Linked DNA regions of Elephas maximus indicus. The protein of the gene in region 2 interacts with the protein of the main gene of each other region in a pairwise test. Links are inferred from orthologs where the notes say so. Each region holds a gene or a part of one and is shown on either strand. Other genes may lie near its edges. The genes, in order: MIS18A and NUP58.

Region 1 (8,611 bases), on a different chromosome or scaffold from region 2:
TATATATATATCCACCACAGTTTCTTGTACTGTAGTGGCTTGTGTATGGCTATGATGCTGGAAGCTATGCCACTGTATTTCAAATACCAGCAGGATCACCCATGGTGGACAGGCTTCAGTGAAGCTTTCAGGCTAAGATAGACCAGGAAGAAAGGCCTGGAGATTTACTTTAAAAAAAATTAGTCAATGAAAGCCCCCCAGACTGCAACAGAATATTGTCTGATATAGTGCTGGAAGATGAGCCCTCTAGGCTGGAAGGCTCTACCCAAGAGCTACAACAATGGACTCAAACATACCAACAATCACTAAGATGGTACAGGACCTGGCAACGTTTCATCATGTTGTCCACAGGGCCATCGTGAGTCAGGCCGTCATATGTCTATGCATTTTCTGTGAGTGTCATGGCATGAACAAGGTAGACAGCATTGGTCTAAGGCACCTTTGCCTACGAGGTTTCACGATACAGATATTTTCTTTTTCTATTTTCTTCAAAACCAAGCCCAAAGAGCCAAAAAGGGAATATCAGGATATGTCTTTAGAAAACTAGAAACCCTCCCATCTCAATATTTAGGGGGCACCATCACTCAAGAATTGACAGGTTTGAAAGACTGATCCTGTATCGATTACTAGGAAACAGTTTTATCCCAAGCAATTACTAGTAAAGATCTTTTAAAAGATTTTTACCTGAAAAATAAGCATTTCTCTAACATATATATTCACATAGATACAGCTTTACTCACCAGCCATTTTCATTTTTACGTTTGGATAGCTTCTGTTCCTTGTCCACAGAAACATTACAGGAGACACCTGGAAAGAAGAAAAGTAACTATAATTTGTTAATGGGGTTTGTTATAATACACATGCAGATATTTAGAGAACCTCTAATCTGAGTTTTATATGAAAACTCAGAGGGCCAGAAAAAATAAGAGGCCAAAGTATCTCCCTCTCACCCTTTCTGTCTCTCTCTCTCACACTCACACACACAAAACACATGGGTTTAAAACTAAATGTACAGGAGTCTTCTGGAAAAAGACAGCAGAATAAGAGTTACTTCCTTCCCTGAAAACCAGTGATATGAACAAAATGAATAAGCTTAAGAAGAAAAATTCAGGAAATAGTAAAACCTGGAAAAATGAGAACCTCCAATCATAAATTACAAAGAATAACTGCCAGGTTTGGTGAAATTGGGATTAAAACCAAGGAAGATGCTAAAATCCAACGCGTACATATCTAGATCTCCAAAAGAAAGCTCATTTCTCCAACAGTAATTTAGATGGTCCCCAGCAACCCAGCCAAAAATCTTTTACTTGGACCATGACTTGGGCAAGGGCCGCAGCAGAACCCGAGCAGGAAACGTTACCGGAGGATTCAGTTTCAGGATGCACTAACAGAGGGTCCAGGTGGAGGGAAATGAAGAAAAGACCATGTCATATCGGACCTAACAAAACAGCCCCTTGATTTCACCTCCTCCTACAGTCCACTTTAGCCTGGTGAATGCCACCACCAGACACCCTAATGCCATCCTTGATTCTTCTGTCTCATCCTGCTCCCCACACCCACTCCACTGACAAGTGCTGTGAATTCTACCTCACAAACGCCTTTCCAAAGTATCTGCTCTTCTCCATCCCCAACACAGCTGCCACCACCCCTTGCGTGGACTTCCACAACAGCTCCTGACTTGTCTCCCTACTTCCACGAGTGGGTCATATCACTCCCATCTCCTCAACCACTGGAATAGATTTTGTCTCCTCAGATAGCATACGAGGCTCTCCATTTTCTGGCCCCTTCCTTCTTCCCTGAATCTTATCTGTATTCTACTCACAAGCCCCAGGGCCTTTGCACCACCTGCTCCCCTCATGCCTGGAGGAAGCACAAAGCATGACCGAAGAAGTGTACGTGTGGCCAAAGAGACATTCATGTATAAAGACAACAGACATTTTCAAGCACTCAAACCTGGAGTTTTCTTGGGGATGGGAACTACTGAGGACGATTAATCAAAATAAAGAGGGACACGGTGGTTCAGTGGATAGAATTCTCGCCTTCCGTGAGGGAGACCCAGGTTCCATTCCCGACCAGTACTCCTCAAGCACAGCCACCACCTATATGAGTAGAGGCTTGTATGTTGCTATGCTACTAAACAGACTTCAGCAAAGCTTCCAGACTCTGACTAGGAAGAAAGTCTTGGCAATCTACTTCCAAAATCAGCCAGTGTAAACCCCACGGATCGCAACAGTCCGATCCCTTTGTGTGTGGGTTGCCATGAGTCGGGGTCAACTCCACAGCAGCTAACAAGAACAATCAAAATAAACCAGTCAGGAAGGGAAAGCTCTAAGGGTACTGTTGTTATGTGCCATTGAGTCAATTCTGAAAGGAGCCCAGGTGGCACAGTGGTTAAGTGCTCAGCTACTAACCAAAAGGTTGGCAGTCTGAACCCATCAGCCAGGTGGGAGAAAGATGCGGCAGTCTGCTTCCATAAAGATTACAGCCTTAGAAACCCTATGGGGCAGTTCTATTCTGTCCTATAGGGTCACTATGAATCAGAATCGACTTCACAGTAATGGGTTTGGTTGTTTGTTTTTTTTTTTTAATCTTTTCAGGAGCAGATTGCCAGATCTTTCTCACTCGGAGTCACTGGGCAGGCTCAAATCACCAACCTTTCAATGAGCAGCTGAGTGCTTAACCGTTGTGCCACCAGGACTCCTGATAAGAGTACTAGAGTTGAGAAATAAATCCACTTAAATGTTACCTTAAGGCTAAATGACCATGGGAATTATGGCTACAGAGCAGAACGTAAATACTAGAACAATGACAAAGTGAGAATAATTGAAGTCCAAGTGGAGGAGAAAGTTTTAATCAAATTGTCTAAAGCGGATAAATCAAGATATTTATATACAGTTCTAGAAAAGTTAAAAACAACTTGACTCCACAACACCTAACAACAACAAACACGTCCTGGCTTACAATCGAGTTGTAATGTTTTGAGTAATGCTCACAATGCTGCTGATTCAACCACTGCTCTTCTCGAATGGGGGGCGGGGCGGTGGCTTCAAGATAAAGGACCCGCCCCTCACTCTTGAGCCAAAGGTGCAGGTGACCTTCTTCCTCCCCTTTTCGTAGCACAGCTCCCCCTCTCAACTTTCTCTGCATTTTAAGTCCCTGGTGGTGCAGTGGAACCCTGGTGGTGGAGTGGTTAAGAGCTCGGCTTCTAACCAAAAGGTCTGCACTTCGAATCCACCAGCCGCTCCTTGGAAACCCCATAAGACAGCTCTATTCTGTCTATAGGGTCGCTATGAGTCGGAATGGACTGACGGCAGTGGGTCCCAAGGCAACCCCCTCCCTCCGAGCCGCCCAGATACTGCACACCTGGGAAGTCGGCGGCCCCAAGCCCCCCGCCCGCCCGGACTGACAGCGGAGCAGGATGCAGTCGGGGTCCTCCTGGCTCGTCACCCAGCTCAGCGAGTCGCCCAGCGGCCGGCGGCAGCCCGAGCACAGGAACACCAGCGGCCGCTCCTCCTCCGCGGCCTCCCCACGCCACGTCTCCTCGGCGCCGGCCGCCGGCGCGCTCCAGCTCCCGGAGCTGCACATGCTCGCCCACTGCTGCAGCAGCTGTTGGCGGCTCGAGTCTTCGGAGAGCCTCCTGCCCAGCAGAGAGGAGTCGCTCCACTTGCCCTGGTCACACGCACAGCTAACAGAGGAGCATCTTTTGCAAGAACGCAGCGACGGAGCGCCCGCCATAACTACAAATTACCCGCGCCCTAGAGCACCACGGGAAAAAACGGCCCTGCGCATGCGCGGGGCGGGGCGCAGCGGCCCAGGTCGAGCCTTGAGGGGCGGGGTCTGAGGGAGGAGGGACAGCGGGCAATGGGCTCGTGCGCGTGCTCACTGTCGGCTTGACGCGGCTGTCGATCACTGCGCCTGCGTCAGGTTTTCCACCCCTTTTAAGAAGTCAGGAGCCCTGGTGGTGCAGTAGGTGAAGCGCTCGGCAGCGAACCGGAAGTTTGGTGGTGGAACACACCAGTTGCTACAGGGGCGGAGAGATGCGGCAGTCTGCTTCCTGAAGATTACAGCCTCGGAGACCTTATGAGGAAGTTTTGTTCTCTATGGGTTGGAATCCACTTGGCAGTGGGTTAGGCTTGGTTTGGGTTAAAAAACAAATTACGGGGTCTGACAGAGCCTGGAGAAACCCCCGAGACTGTGGCCCTAAGACACCCTTCTGAAGTGGAACTGCAGCCACATTTCCAGAGGCCACCTTTCAGCCAAACCATAGACAGGGCCGTGAAATAAACAGTAACTCCCGAGAGAAGGTGGTCCTTAGAACAATTAAAAAAAAAAATTTTTTTTTTTTTTTTACACGAGATAAATCAGGACGAAAGGAAAGGGGGAACTCGGAATGGAAACGGGGGTAGTGCTGACTCACTGTGGGGAATACCACCAAAGTCATGTAACACTTTATGTACAAACTAGTGAACGGGGGAACTAATTTGCTTTGTAAATTTGACCTTAAGCACAATTAAAAAAAAAAAAGGAGGAGAGTTGCTGGAATGCTGGTGTGCACTGAGAAGGGTGTTCAGCTTCTTGGGGGAGTGTTAGGGGATGTCATCCTTGAAAAGGGGCACAGACCTCAGAGTAAATTACCATTCGCTCACCCAGACCTTCACAATCCTTGGTCTTCTTGGGGGAGTGTTAGGGGATGTCATCCTTGAAAAAGGGCACAGACCTCAGAGTAAATTACCATTCCCTCACCCAGACCTTCACAATCCTTGGTCTTCTTGGGGAAGTGTTAGGGGATGTCATCCTTGAAAAAGGGCACAGACCTCAGAGTAAATTACCATTCGCTCACCCAGACCTTCACAATCCTTGGTCTTCTTGGGGGAGTGTTAGGGGATGTCATCCTTGAAAAAGGGCACAGACCTCAGAGTAAATTACCATTCGCTCACCCAGACCTTCACAATCCTTGGTCTTCTTGGGGGAGTGTTAGGGGATGTCATCCTTGAAAAAGGGCACAGACCTCAGAGTAAATTACCATTCGCTCACCCAGACCTTCACAATCCTTGGTCTTCTTGGGGGAGTGTTAGAGGATGTCATCCTTGAAAAAGGGCACAGACCTCAGAGTAAATTACCATTCCCTCACCCAGACCTTCACAATCCTTGGTCTTCTTGGGGAAGTGTTAGGGGATGTCATCCTTGAAAAAGGGCACAGACCTCAGAGTAAATTACCATTCGCTCACCCAGACCTTCACAATCCTTGGTCTTCTTGGGGGAGTGTTAGGGGATGTCATCCTTGAAAAAGGGCACAGACCTCAGAGTAAATTACCATTCGCTCACCCAGACCTTCACAATCCTTGGTCTTCTTGGGGGAGTGTTAGGGGATGTCATCCTTGAAAAAGTGCACAGACCTCAGAGTAAATTACCATTCACTCACCCAGACCTTCACAATCCTTGGTCTTCTTGTTAGCTGCCTTGGAGTCACCCCCAACCCATGGCAATCTCGACCGAGAAGAATGCTGCCCAGTCCGGCTCCATCCCCACCGACTGCTGTGATCCATAGGGTTTTCACTGGCTGATTCTCAGAAGTACATGGCCAGTCCTTTCTTCCTAGTCCATCGTGGTCTGGAAGCTCCACTGAAACCTGTTCAGCATCATAGCAACATGCAAGCCCGCACTGACAGATGGGTGGTGCTGCACATGGGGTACACTGCCTGGGCATCCTGCACCAGGTCTCCTTCACGGAAGGTGAGATTGGCAGCTATCAGTAGTGGCAAGACATGATGAACGCAATCAGTGTCACTGAATTTTACATGTAAAAATTGTTGAATTGGAAAAACATATATATGTATGTTTACCACAATAAAAAAAATTAAGAAGTTGCAGACACTGGTGCGGGCAGTAGCAGTGTTACTGGAAAGTTTGGCAGTGCCTCTGCTGTCTACATCAGGTAGCCCTCAGCCCCTCGCAAGAGGCGAGCATTCACTCAGGATCGTCAGCACAGACTTCCTTCAACCAGCCTCTGATTTAAAGCACCACTGGTGTGGTGGGAAGACTGAGGGGAAGGGGTCTGGCTGCATCGCAGACCACCTGGCAGCATAACTGGGAAGAAAGCACTGCTACGGATCTACCCACCACCCGTCTGTCAGTTGGTCATACTGTGATGGCTTGCATGTTGCCATGATGCTGGACGCTATGGCACTGGTATTTCAGATACCAGCAGGGTCACCCATGGTGCACAGGTTTCAGTGGAGCTTCCAGACTAAGACAAAAAAGAAAAGCCTAGTAATCTATTTCCAAAATATCAGCAGTTCAGCTCTGACACACATGGGGTCATCATAAATCAGAGCCAATTTGACAGCCGCGAACAACCACAAGGATCTACATCGGCTCAGACTTTGGACAGCAAGCAGGAATCCTCAGTGGGTTTTTTTGTTTTTTTGTGTTTTTTTTTTTTACAATTTTTATTGTGCTTTCAGTAAGTGAAAGTTTTCAAATCAAATCGGTCTCTCACATAAAAACTTATATACACCTTGCTACATACTCCCAATTACTCTCCCCCTAATGAGACAGCCCGCTCTCCCTGCACTCTCTCTTTTCGTGTCCATTTCGCCATCTTCTAACCCCCTCTACCCTCTCATCTCCCCTCCAGGCAGGAGATGCGGACATAGCCTCAAGTGTCCACCTGATCCAAGAAGCTAACTCCTCACCAGCATCCCTCTCCAACCCGTTGTCCAGTCCAATCCATGTCTGAAGAGTTGGCTTCAGGAATGGTTCCTGTCCTGGGCCAGCAGAAGGTCTGGGGGCCATGACCACCGGGGTCCTTCCAGTCTCAGTCAGACCATTAAGTCTGGTCTTATGAGAATTTGGGGACTGCATCCCACTGCTCTCCTGCTGCCTCAGGGGTTCTCTGTTGTGTTCCCTGTCAGGGCAGTCATCAGTTGTAGCTGGACACCATCTAGTTCTTCTGGTCTCAGGCTGATGTAGTCTCTGGTTCATGGGGCCCTTTCTGTTTCTTAGGCTCATAATTACCTTGTGTCCTTAGTGTTCTTCATTCTTCTTTGATCCAGGTGGGTTGAGACCAATTGATGCATCTTAGATGGCTGCTTGCTAGCGTTTAAGACTCCAGATGCCACTCTTCAAAGGGGGACGCAGAATGTTTCCTTAATAGATTTTATTGTGCCAATTGACTTAGATGTCCCCTGAAATCATGGTCCCCAGACCCCTGCCCCTGCTACACTGGCCTTCGAAGCATTCAGTTTATTCAGGAAACTTCTTTGCTTTTGGTTTAGTCCAGTTGTGCTGCCCTCCCCTGTATTGTGTGCTGTCTTTCCCTTCACCTAAAGTAGTTCTTATCTACCATCTAATTAGTGAATACCCCTGTCCCACCCTCCCTCCCTCCCTCCTCTCTTAACCACAAAAGAATGTTTTCTTCTCAGTTTAAACTGTTTCTCAAGTTCTTATAATAATGGTCTTATACAATATTTGTCCTTTTGCAACTGACTAATTTGACTCAGCATAATGCCTTCCAGGTTCCTCCATGTTATGAAATGTTTCACAGATTCCTCACTGTTCTTTATTGATGCGCAGAATTCCATTGTGTGAATATACCGTAATTTATCCATTCATCCGTTGATGGGCACCTTGGTTGCTTCCATTTTTTTGCTTTTGTAAACAGTGCTGCAGTAAACATGGGTGTGTGTATATCTGTTCATGTAAAGGCTCTTATTTCTCTAGGAGTGGGATTGCTGGATCTTATGGTATTTCTATTTCTAGCTTTTTAAGGAAGCGCCAAATCGATTTCCAAAGTGGTTGTACCATTTTACATTCCCACCAGCAGTGTATAAGTGTTCCAATCTCTCCACAGCCTCTCCAACATTTATTATTTTGTGTTTTTTGGATTATTGCCAGCCCTGTTGGAGTGAGGTGAAATCTCATTTTAGTTTTGATCTGCATTTCTCTAATGGCTAATGATCGTGAACATTTCCTTATGTATCTGTTAGCTACCTGAATGTCTTCTTTAGTGAAGTATCAATTTGTATCTTTTGCCCATTTTTTAATTGGGTTATTTGTCTTTTTGTAGTTGCGTTTTTGCAGTATCATGTAGATTTTAGAGATCAGGCGCTGATCAGATGTGTCATAGCTAAAAACTTTTTCCCAGTCTGTAGGTAGTCCTTTTCTCTTTTGGTGAAGTCTTTGGATGAGCATAGGTGTTTGATTTTTAGGAGCTCCCAGTTATCTAGTTTTTCTTCTGCATTCTTAATAATGTTTTGTATACTGTTTTTACCATGTATTAGGGCTAGCGTTGTCCCTATTTTTTCTTCCATGATCTTTATCGTTTTAGATTTTATATTTAGGTCTTTGATCCATTTTGAGTTAGTTTTTCTGCATGGAGTGAGGTGTGGGTCTTGTTTCATTTTTTTGTAGATAGATATCCAGTTATGCCAGCACCATTTGTTAAAAAGACTGTCTTTTCCCCCATTTAACTGTTTTGGGGCCTTTGTCAAATATCAACTGCTCACATGTGGATGGATTTATGTCTGGATTCTCAATTCTATTCCATTGGTCCATGTATCTGTTGTTGTACCAGTACCAGGCTGTTTTAACTACTGTGGCTGTATAATAG
Region 2 (8,583 bases):
ATCATGCAAGAGACTGTAACAACATGTACAACACAATGGAAAATCTCATTTACAGTATGTATTTACCTTTATTACATCTATCCTTGCCCGTCATAGTGATATAATCATCTTGAGAGAATCCAATGTCAGTTTTAAAAAAGTTTAAAAGTTCTGAGATGTTTCAATTTAAAGAGGAAGCGGTAGTGTTAAGATGATTCCAGTACCAGCTCTGCCACTTTCCATTTTGACGGCAAAATACGAAAAACAGTACCCACTTCATTGGGTTTTTAATAAAGATTAAGACATTACACAGGGTGAATTAACTTCAAATGTTGTTACTACTGTTAACATTAGGAATACTTGCAAATTCAACTAAATACATTGCAGACATGGCTCTATGCCAGGAGTAGCAAGGGGGTACAGAGAAGACTAAGATAGCCCCTGCGTGCAAGGAACGTGTTGTTTACCAGGAGGATAAGTAACACAAATAACCATAATCCAAGGTAGAACAGTTCTCCAAGTTACTTGCATCCAAATCTCATCTGTTCTGTAACTAGCCCATGGAACCATTCGGGTTTTGTATATATTGGGAGTTTGGGGGAGGGAAGCATTATGATACAAGTAGTACAAATTTATCTCTTCAACAAGCTTATAATCACTTTATGCAGATCACTGGCAAACATAAAACAGAAGTTTGAGGTGAAAAGCTACTCGCTGAGGGGAATGGAGAGGGAGCAGCTTATTAAGGAGGTAACACTTGAGATGGGTTATCAATACTGAGCAGAAAAAGGGAGTACAACTAAAGCATAGAACTTTATATATTTAATCAACTGAACAATTAAAATGGTATTTTAAGAAACATTTCAGCAAATTTCGAAATCAAATTAGAAAAACGGTTATTATGCTCCCTTTGCTCCCAAATGAATGACCCCATTTTTTAAAGCTGTGCCCTACTTGTATTCCATAAATATACCAAAAACATACAGTGAAAGGTATGTATTATTAAACAATGAATTAAAAAATTTTAAATTTCTTGACAACTTAAGATAACTGAAGGCACTGTAAGGTATTTCATAACAAAAGTTCAAAACATCCTCAAAAAATATATATATCAAAGAAAAAATCCTTCTTACTCTACCAGAGGAGCAAAAGAGAAATTTCTCTGTGGCAGTGAAATTTCTTTACTTCAAGGAAAACAAAAGCTACATTAAGCCCAACCAATTATTGCCTCGACCCAGTATTATCTGCCAGTGATTTCACTTTTTTTTTTACTGTGGAAAAGCAAAGTTGACTCCATCTAGTCAGAAATGATATTTTAACTTCTCCAGCCTGCCTTAAAGGAGTCCTAGTGGCACAGTGGTTAAAGTGCTTGGCTGCTAACCAAAAGGCTGGTGATTCAAACCCACCAGCTGCTCTGCAGGAGAAAGAGGTGATAGTCTGCTTGTATAACAAATACAGCCTCAGAAACCCCATGGGGCAGTTTTACTCATAGGGTCACTATGAGTCTGAATCAACTCAACGGCAGTAGGTTTGGGTTTTCAGTTTAGAGTACATTAACTGTGGACTTAGAAGTAAAAGCAGTAGCTAACATTTACTGAACACTTACCAAGATGCAGAGCCCTGGTGGCATAGTGGTTAAGTTTCGCTGCTAACCAAAAGGTGGACAGTTCGAATCCACCAGCCACTCCTTGAAAACCCTATGGCGCAGTTCTACTCTGTCCTATAGGGTCACTATGAGTTGGTACCGACTCCACTGCAACGGGTCTGGTTTTCTTGGTTTACCAAGATGCACGTACATGATGCTAGATACTTTACATGCTTTATCTCATTCAAAAACCCTCTGAGGTTAAGTATGTTATTATACACCTTTTCCAGGTGTGGGAACTGAGGCCAGGAGAGTAAGTCACCCAAAATGACTTACCGAAAGAGACAAAATCACCAAGCGGCACCAGGAGCTGTCAGGTCTCCAATCTAGCACTCTAACGGGCAGAGGTCTTCTGTCATTAATTTATTCAAATCCTTTTAAAGCCTGTGTAGATTTTTCTAGTTTATTACCAAATAATTCATTTATTTAGGCATTTGACAAGTATTTATTAAACCTCTTTTCATATGTTAGACACCATCATGAGAACTGAGGATGGAGTGGTAAATAAGATTAGACCCTGCCCTCAGGAAGTTTCCAGTTAGTAAAAAATAGATATTAATCATTCTTTTACTCAATAAAGAGGTTTTGGACATCAAGCACTTTCTCAGTATATACCAGCAGGGTGGTAATGTAAATGTTATTTTTTTACAGTGGTCCTGGATCAATGAATGGGAGCAAACTAAAATGAGAAGATGGGTTCAAGATGAGTAAAGGGATTCCAGATTATTCAGGCCTCGTAGACTATGGTAAAAAAAAAAAAAGAAAAAGAAAATTTAATTTCATTTTAAGGGTAATGGAAAATCACAGAAAGGTAGCAAAGCGCATTTAAAATGAAAATCTCTGGCTACATGTGGCAAAAAGGCTGATGCAGGAGATACAGGTGCAGTTTTCATCTAGCAAAAAAAAAGGTTGCTGGTTGGAAAGCTGGCAGGAATCTTAAGTAGAGCAAGAATCTTATTCATCTCACCACCTAAAACAAAGCCTGGCTCATAGAAATTTGTTCAGTAAGTATTTGTTCTATGAATGCAACACCGTGGAGCAGGACGGTGGCATTGGCAATGCACAAAAAACGGAAATCACAGAAGTAAAATCACCAGGACTTGCTGGTTAAGTGCATAGAGTGCCAGAAAAAGAGGAAAACCCCCAGATTTCTAATCTTGGCTGTGTAGTCTGGGGTGCACTCCCCCCTCCTTAAATACACGTAACCCAAAATATTTTTGCCTTTTTAACCTACAACCACATCCTTCAAGCTCCAGGAGTTATCTTGTAGCTCATGCTATGCATACTTCATTTTATGCACTCCTCTGCCTCTACCTTCAAAAGATTGAGGCCTACGGGCTAAATCTCTCATCATAAAATCATCTTTCACCGTTTTAATTGTATCTTTGCGAACCTCTGCTAGTTGTCTTTTTGTCACACCTGTCCTCGCAGGTTGCAAGAAAACGCTGAATATGTCACCTACGCTTTGCAATTTAAGTGAAAGGCAATGTGGGAAATTACAATACGTTGGTGATCGAGAGAAAATTGTTCTCAATGATGAAACGTGACAGGCCGTGATACTGTTAGTCAAATATTCCAATTTCCCCACATACCGTACAAAATTATCACCAATAAATACTGCAAAAAGCCTTAAAAAAAAAAAAAACTTAAAAAGCTCGCTAAAAATAACCACGAAATCATTAAAGCACCGTAACATCCAAAACCGTAACACTGCAGTGGAATCTGAATTATCGGAAAGACGCTTTTAATTGTTCTCCTTACCAATTTCCATTCGTTAAAGATCTTCATGTCAAACCCTACAATAAACCGTAATTTCATTCATTCATTCAACCTTCATCCCATGCCTGAAGACTGACGCCTCGTTAAGGCTCTGGGCTGTGAACCCCAGGCCCTGTCAACCAGCCAGGCCCCGCTCGGTCGGAACAAAGCCTGAACCACCCGCGATCCTGGAGACCTCACAGACCGTCCGCCCTCCTCCCTGCCAGGCCGGGGCACGGCTCGGGCTGGACCGCGAGCGGGCGGCCTACCGAGCGGGTGGCCCGGCAAGCGCATATCTGTAAGCCCACAGGGAAGGAAGCCACCGGGAAGAGAGGGTCGGGACCAACAGGGAAACCCGCCGGCGAAGACCCGGGCCCGAAAAACGAGTACACGCGGTTACCTAGCCGCCCCTGTCCCGAAGGAGAAGCCGCCCGCCGTGCCGGTCCCGCCGGCGGCCACGGTGGTGGAGCCCAGGGTCCCGGTTCCGAAGGAAAAGCCGCCGGACATGGCTGCACCCTGGGCCCGGGGCCGTTGGCAACCCGGAAGAGTCGGGACCGCTCCTCACGCCTCACCGCCGCGGCGGAGCGGAGGACATCTCTCACGCCAGCTCCAACCTGGCGGGAACCTCACCCCAACGGCGGCCAAGACAAGGCCGAAGGGGTGGAGCAACGCACGCACCAGCCCGTTGCGTCGCTCGCCGCTCGCACGCACTGCCGGGAGCGAGCCCGCGTCGCAAGGGACGCTGGGACAGCGCGCGACCGACTTCCTTAAAGGGGCAGGCGCCCACAGTAAAAACTAAAAGCCAATAATCATTTCTATTTTTTATTTAGTTCTTCTATTTTGGTATCTGTGCTGACTCAGTCTGTACTTTGTAGTTTGGCGTCTCAATTATTGCTTATGTCCTCCCTACTGGATGTGCAGAATTCCGGAGTTGGGAAGGGCGCTAAAGAGCATCTCCAAGTCCCTCCTTTTACAGAGACAAAGGCCGCGAACTGGCTGACCGCTGTCAGCGATTTCGGAAATCATAATTCACCCATCCCTTCAACGCACTGAGCTTCAACTCTGCTCAATAGCTTGCGCGGACCGTTTCGTATAGTCGGACACGGCAGTCACCAACAGGGCTTAGGACCGGCCCGATGGAGGTGTGGGCGCTGGCTCTGTTCGTGGTGCTGAGGAAACGGACTGTCCAAGGCCCTGTAGCTCATGGTTTAGCCAAGTCAACCAGTAGTGTCAGCATAGTAGGAGCTAGAGCCAACCGGGACGCCGCTTCGATATCCTCTGTGCTACCTACTAAAGGGCCTATACAGCTGCAAAGGAGAAAAACACTATACAGACAAGTATGACGTAAGGTAAAATTTAAGAGTTACGTGACCAACGTCAGAAAACTGTGGGTTCCAAGAAGATATCTCCTCTGTGGGAAAGATCAGGGAAGTCTTCAGCAATAGTACAATAGAGGTTCCGCCGTCATAATGTGGGTCTCTTTTTCCATCGCGAATTGTTACCTTCGCCTCCTCAAATGGTTTTCCTACCTAAATTCTCTTTCCATAAAATCCGTCCCATTAGCAACCACCATATTTGTTCTTCTAAAATATAATTGCCACCATGGCAGTCGCTTGATCAGAAACTCCCAGTGGCTCCTTAGTCTAATACGCAAAGTTCTCAACACGACCCAGCTGTACAACCTCCTCTCTCACAATTGCCGTGAATGCAACACTTTCTCCGGTTGAGACTGGGCACTCCCACTTCTGTTTGTAGAATTAAAAATAGATAAACACCATTTTAAACATTATGAAGGTCACATGATAAAACAGAAATGAAAGGGAAATATATTTAAACTATAGTATAAAAAAATTCACAGTGATTGAGCAATAGTAAAAATTATTATGAATTTTAGAGCTTCAGTAATCTAGATAGCGTTTTCAATGACAGATATAGGACGGCCAGTAAGAAGCCTGTAGATATAAAATTTAAATGTACTTCCTTTTGACTAAAAAAAAAAATGCAACCAGATGACATTTGAAAGAAAGCTGTTCCTTATGTCATTTCATTCCCTGGTATTTCCACAATTTTTGAAGAATATCAAAATAAAATTAGGACAAATAAAATCCCCAGCACTTAAAAAGCACTTGTTGATTAATAAGACATGTAAGATTACCTGGACGGAAACAGCATGTAAAAATATTAGAGGAGCTGTCGGAAGATATTATGGAACCCTAGCAGCACAGTGGTTAAGAGCTCAGCTACTAATCCAACACAGGCAGTTTGAACCCACCAGCCACTCTGCAGGAGAAAGATATGGTAGCCTGCTTCCATGAAGATTATAGCCTTGGAAACTCTATTGGACAGTTCTACTCTGTCTTATGGTGTCACTATGAGTCAGAACCAACTTGATGGCAATGGGTTTTTAGCTTTATTGTAACATATTAATAATTGGGCGTACAGTACAAAGGAACTGTCTGTACTATCAGTGCAAAAATTCTATAAATTAAAACTTTTGAAATACAAAGCTTATTGTAGAATTAAAATAGGGGAACCTGACTCAGACAAAGGGTGTTTATGTTTCTTTGAGCCATTCAAATTGATGCGCAAGCTATTCTTACAATTTTATTTTATAAAAATTTTAGTATGGCATTTCTGCCTTGTATCTGGCAGAGCAGTTTAAGTTCTGTTTCAGTAACAAATGATCCCAAATCCCACAGGAAGAAGTACTGCATGGTGGAAAATTGGAATATTTGACGCACAGTGTTATAATCTGTCACAGTTTACAGATGCACCAAGCATAAGACTGGACCTGAAAGACCTTTTCTCATCTTATATACCTGTGGCTGTCTGTCCTATTAGCAAAGAGAGAGGGAGAAGAAAAAAAGAAAACACTTTACATCCTCTCCAAAGAAAACAGTTTTAATAGGCCCAATTTTTTGTTACGAAACTGAAAACTTGCCAGTAAAATAGCAATAACCTCAACTTCGTGCCTATTAAACCCTATCCCCCAACCAGGGAAAAATGTGGAGCACTGTAATTTGGCTTAACATTCCTCATCTAGTGTGAGTGACAAATTTTTATTACAAACGAAGTTCCAAATATTACTCTTGGACATTATGGGACCTGACCCATGTGTCAGTTCTGTGTGAATTACTGCTTTCCAAGGAGGAAGCAAGTGATTCAGATTCTGAATTCTATAGCAAGCTACTTTATTTCCCCTCCTCTTTTATTGTGAGCATTCTGTTAAGAAACTCCATATTTTGCTGATTTGCTTGCTGGATGATAACATTGTTAATGTCATAATCAGACAATTAGCTGAAAGGCAATAGCACTGTAAAAAAAAATTCCAGTTTGTATTTGCATTAAAGAGCTAAATAGCCTTGCAGTAGTAGTGTGTTCAGATCAGGAGAGCCCTTTGAGAAGCATTATTTGAGAGGTTTTAACACAGAAAGTGTCTGGGAATCTGAAGTCTATTTAAAGTGATCTGTAATGTTTATGGTTCTGATCCTCTGAAATATTCAAGAGAGAGGTTATCTTTCAGAAACTACATGCAGCATTTGCCTCCAGACTCTGTCTTGTAAATTTTTCCAGAAGAGGTGTATTTATTTGGCTTGAAAGATTTAGATAGTATCATTCTTCTTTAAAAATCCTATTAAAGTCTCAAAAGAGTCAACGACAACCACAAAATGAATATAGAGAGATAGAGCAATAATAAAAATGTGACTAAATGTTGACAGTTGGTACCTCCACAAGCAAGGTAGATGGGTGTCCATTATACTACTCTCAACTTTTCTGTAGGTTTGGACATTTTCAAAATAAAATGTTAGAAAGGAAGAGCCTAAAGCTAGAGGAAAAGTTCACTATCACAGGTCAGAATACTAATTATCTGTTTACTAATGAAATTTTCATTCATGACTCAAGAAATGAGAAAAATAAAAGCAATAGAAGGCATTTTCCATGAAGCTAAATTAGTTCCATTCTCAGTGTAGTCATTTATTTTGAAATTATGTTTTTGCTATTGGTGGGGGCAGTGAATGGGACATGAAAAAGTTGCCTTGGCGGCCTCATGATGATAGTGGATGGTAATAATTTCTTTTCTTTTTAGAAATCTTGCTAGACAAAATAAAATGCTAGCAACCCTTATAGAATTCTATTGATAAGGTCTTGAAGGTGTGTCTCAATCTCTGTACCTATTAGGAATGCAGTGTAATAGTGGGCAGAAACATTGATAGGAAACAAAGGAATGTAGCTATAAGAAATGAAACCTGATTGTCTTAGGCTCGGTTCTCTAGAGAAGTAAAACCAGTAACCTCTATAAACATATATATAGAGAGAGAGAGATTTATATCAAGGAAATGGCTCACACGGTTGTAGATGCTGGACCATTCCAAGTCTGCAGGTCAAGATAGAGGTTTCCCCTGATTCACGTAGCCACAGGAGTTGGCAAACCTAAGATCAGCAGGTCACAGATCAGGGCTCTTTCTCACAAGCTATGGAGATCGATGAATCCCAAGATCAGCAGGTAAGACTGCAGGTAAGCTGCCAGCTCAAATCCCAGGAACCAGAGGCTAGAAGACAGAAGCCAGCTGCAGGATCCAGCATGAGCAATAAGCACCCAAGCCTTTCCAGACTATCCATTCATATTCAATGCAGGTCACATGCCTAAGGAAACTCCCCCAAATTAACAGGCTACTCACAGCAGACACCATCATGGAGGTGATCACACAATATCAAATCTTATCATGGAAGTCATCACACCATACGGCTGACAAACCACTGAGACTCACGGCCCAGCCAAGTTGACACACAATCCCAAAGGCTAGGAAGTAGGAAATACTGGGGGTTATATTTGTGTCAAGGCCCCTGGGTACTTGTGATTGACTTCTAACCTAAAGGGTGGCAGTTTGAGCCCAGCCAATGATACCACAGAAGAAAGGTCTGGTGATCGGCTTCCATTAAGATTACAGTCAAGAAAACCCTGAAGAGGCAGGGCCAAGATGGCAGAGTAGTCAGATGCTTCTGGTGGTCCCACTTACAACAAAGACTCAAAAAAACAAGTGAATCAATTATATATATGGCAAGCTAGGAGCCTGAAAATCAAAGACAAAGTTAAGAAATCGGACTAAGTGGCAGGGGGAGGGAGAGATGGATCAGAAGCAGTGAGAATTTGGTGGATCTGGCTCAGCAGGAACCAGTGCCCCTCAGCCCTGATCTGCTGG

The links.
Region 1: the proteins of NUP58 (region 2) and MIS18A interact in binary tests that used the Homo sapiens proteins (3 or more experiments, as listed by UniProt). The link is inferred for Elephas maximus indicus from reciprocal best matches to the Homo sapiens genes NUP58 and MIS18A.

What each region holds. Positions count from the first base shown.
Region 1 is NC_064836.1:29,347,069-29,355,679, reverse strand, and holds the start of MIS18A (protein Mis18-alpha), read right to left. Parts: upstream 3,765-8,611; 5' UTR 3,736-3,764; coding exon 3,408-3,735; intron 808-3,407; coding exon 741-807; intron 1-740. UniProt on the Homo sapiens protein: Required for recruitment of CENPA to centromeres and normal chromosome segregation during mitosis.
Region 2 is NC_064841.1:56,585,241-56,593,823, reverse strand, and holds the start of NUP58 (nucleoporin p58/p45), read right to left. Parts: upstream 4,077-8,583; 5' UTR 3,890-4,076; coding exon 3,783-3,889; intron 1-3,782. UniProt on the Homo sapiens protein: Component of the nuclear pore complex, a complex required for the trafficking across the nuclear membrane.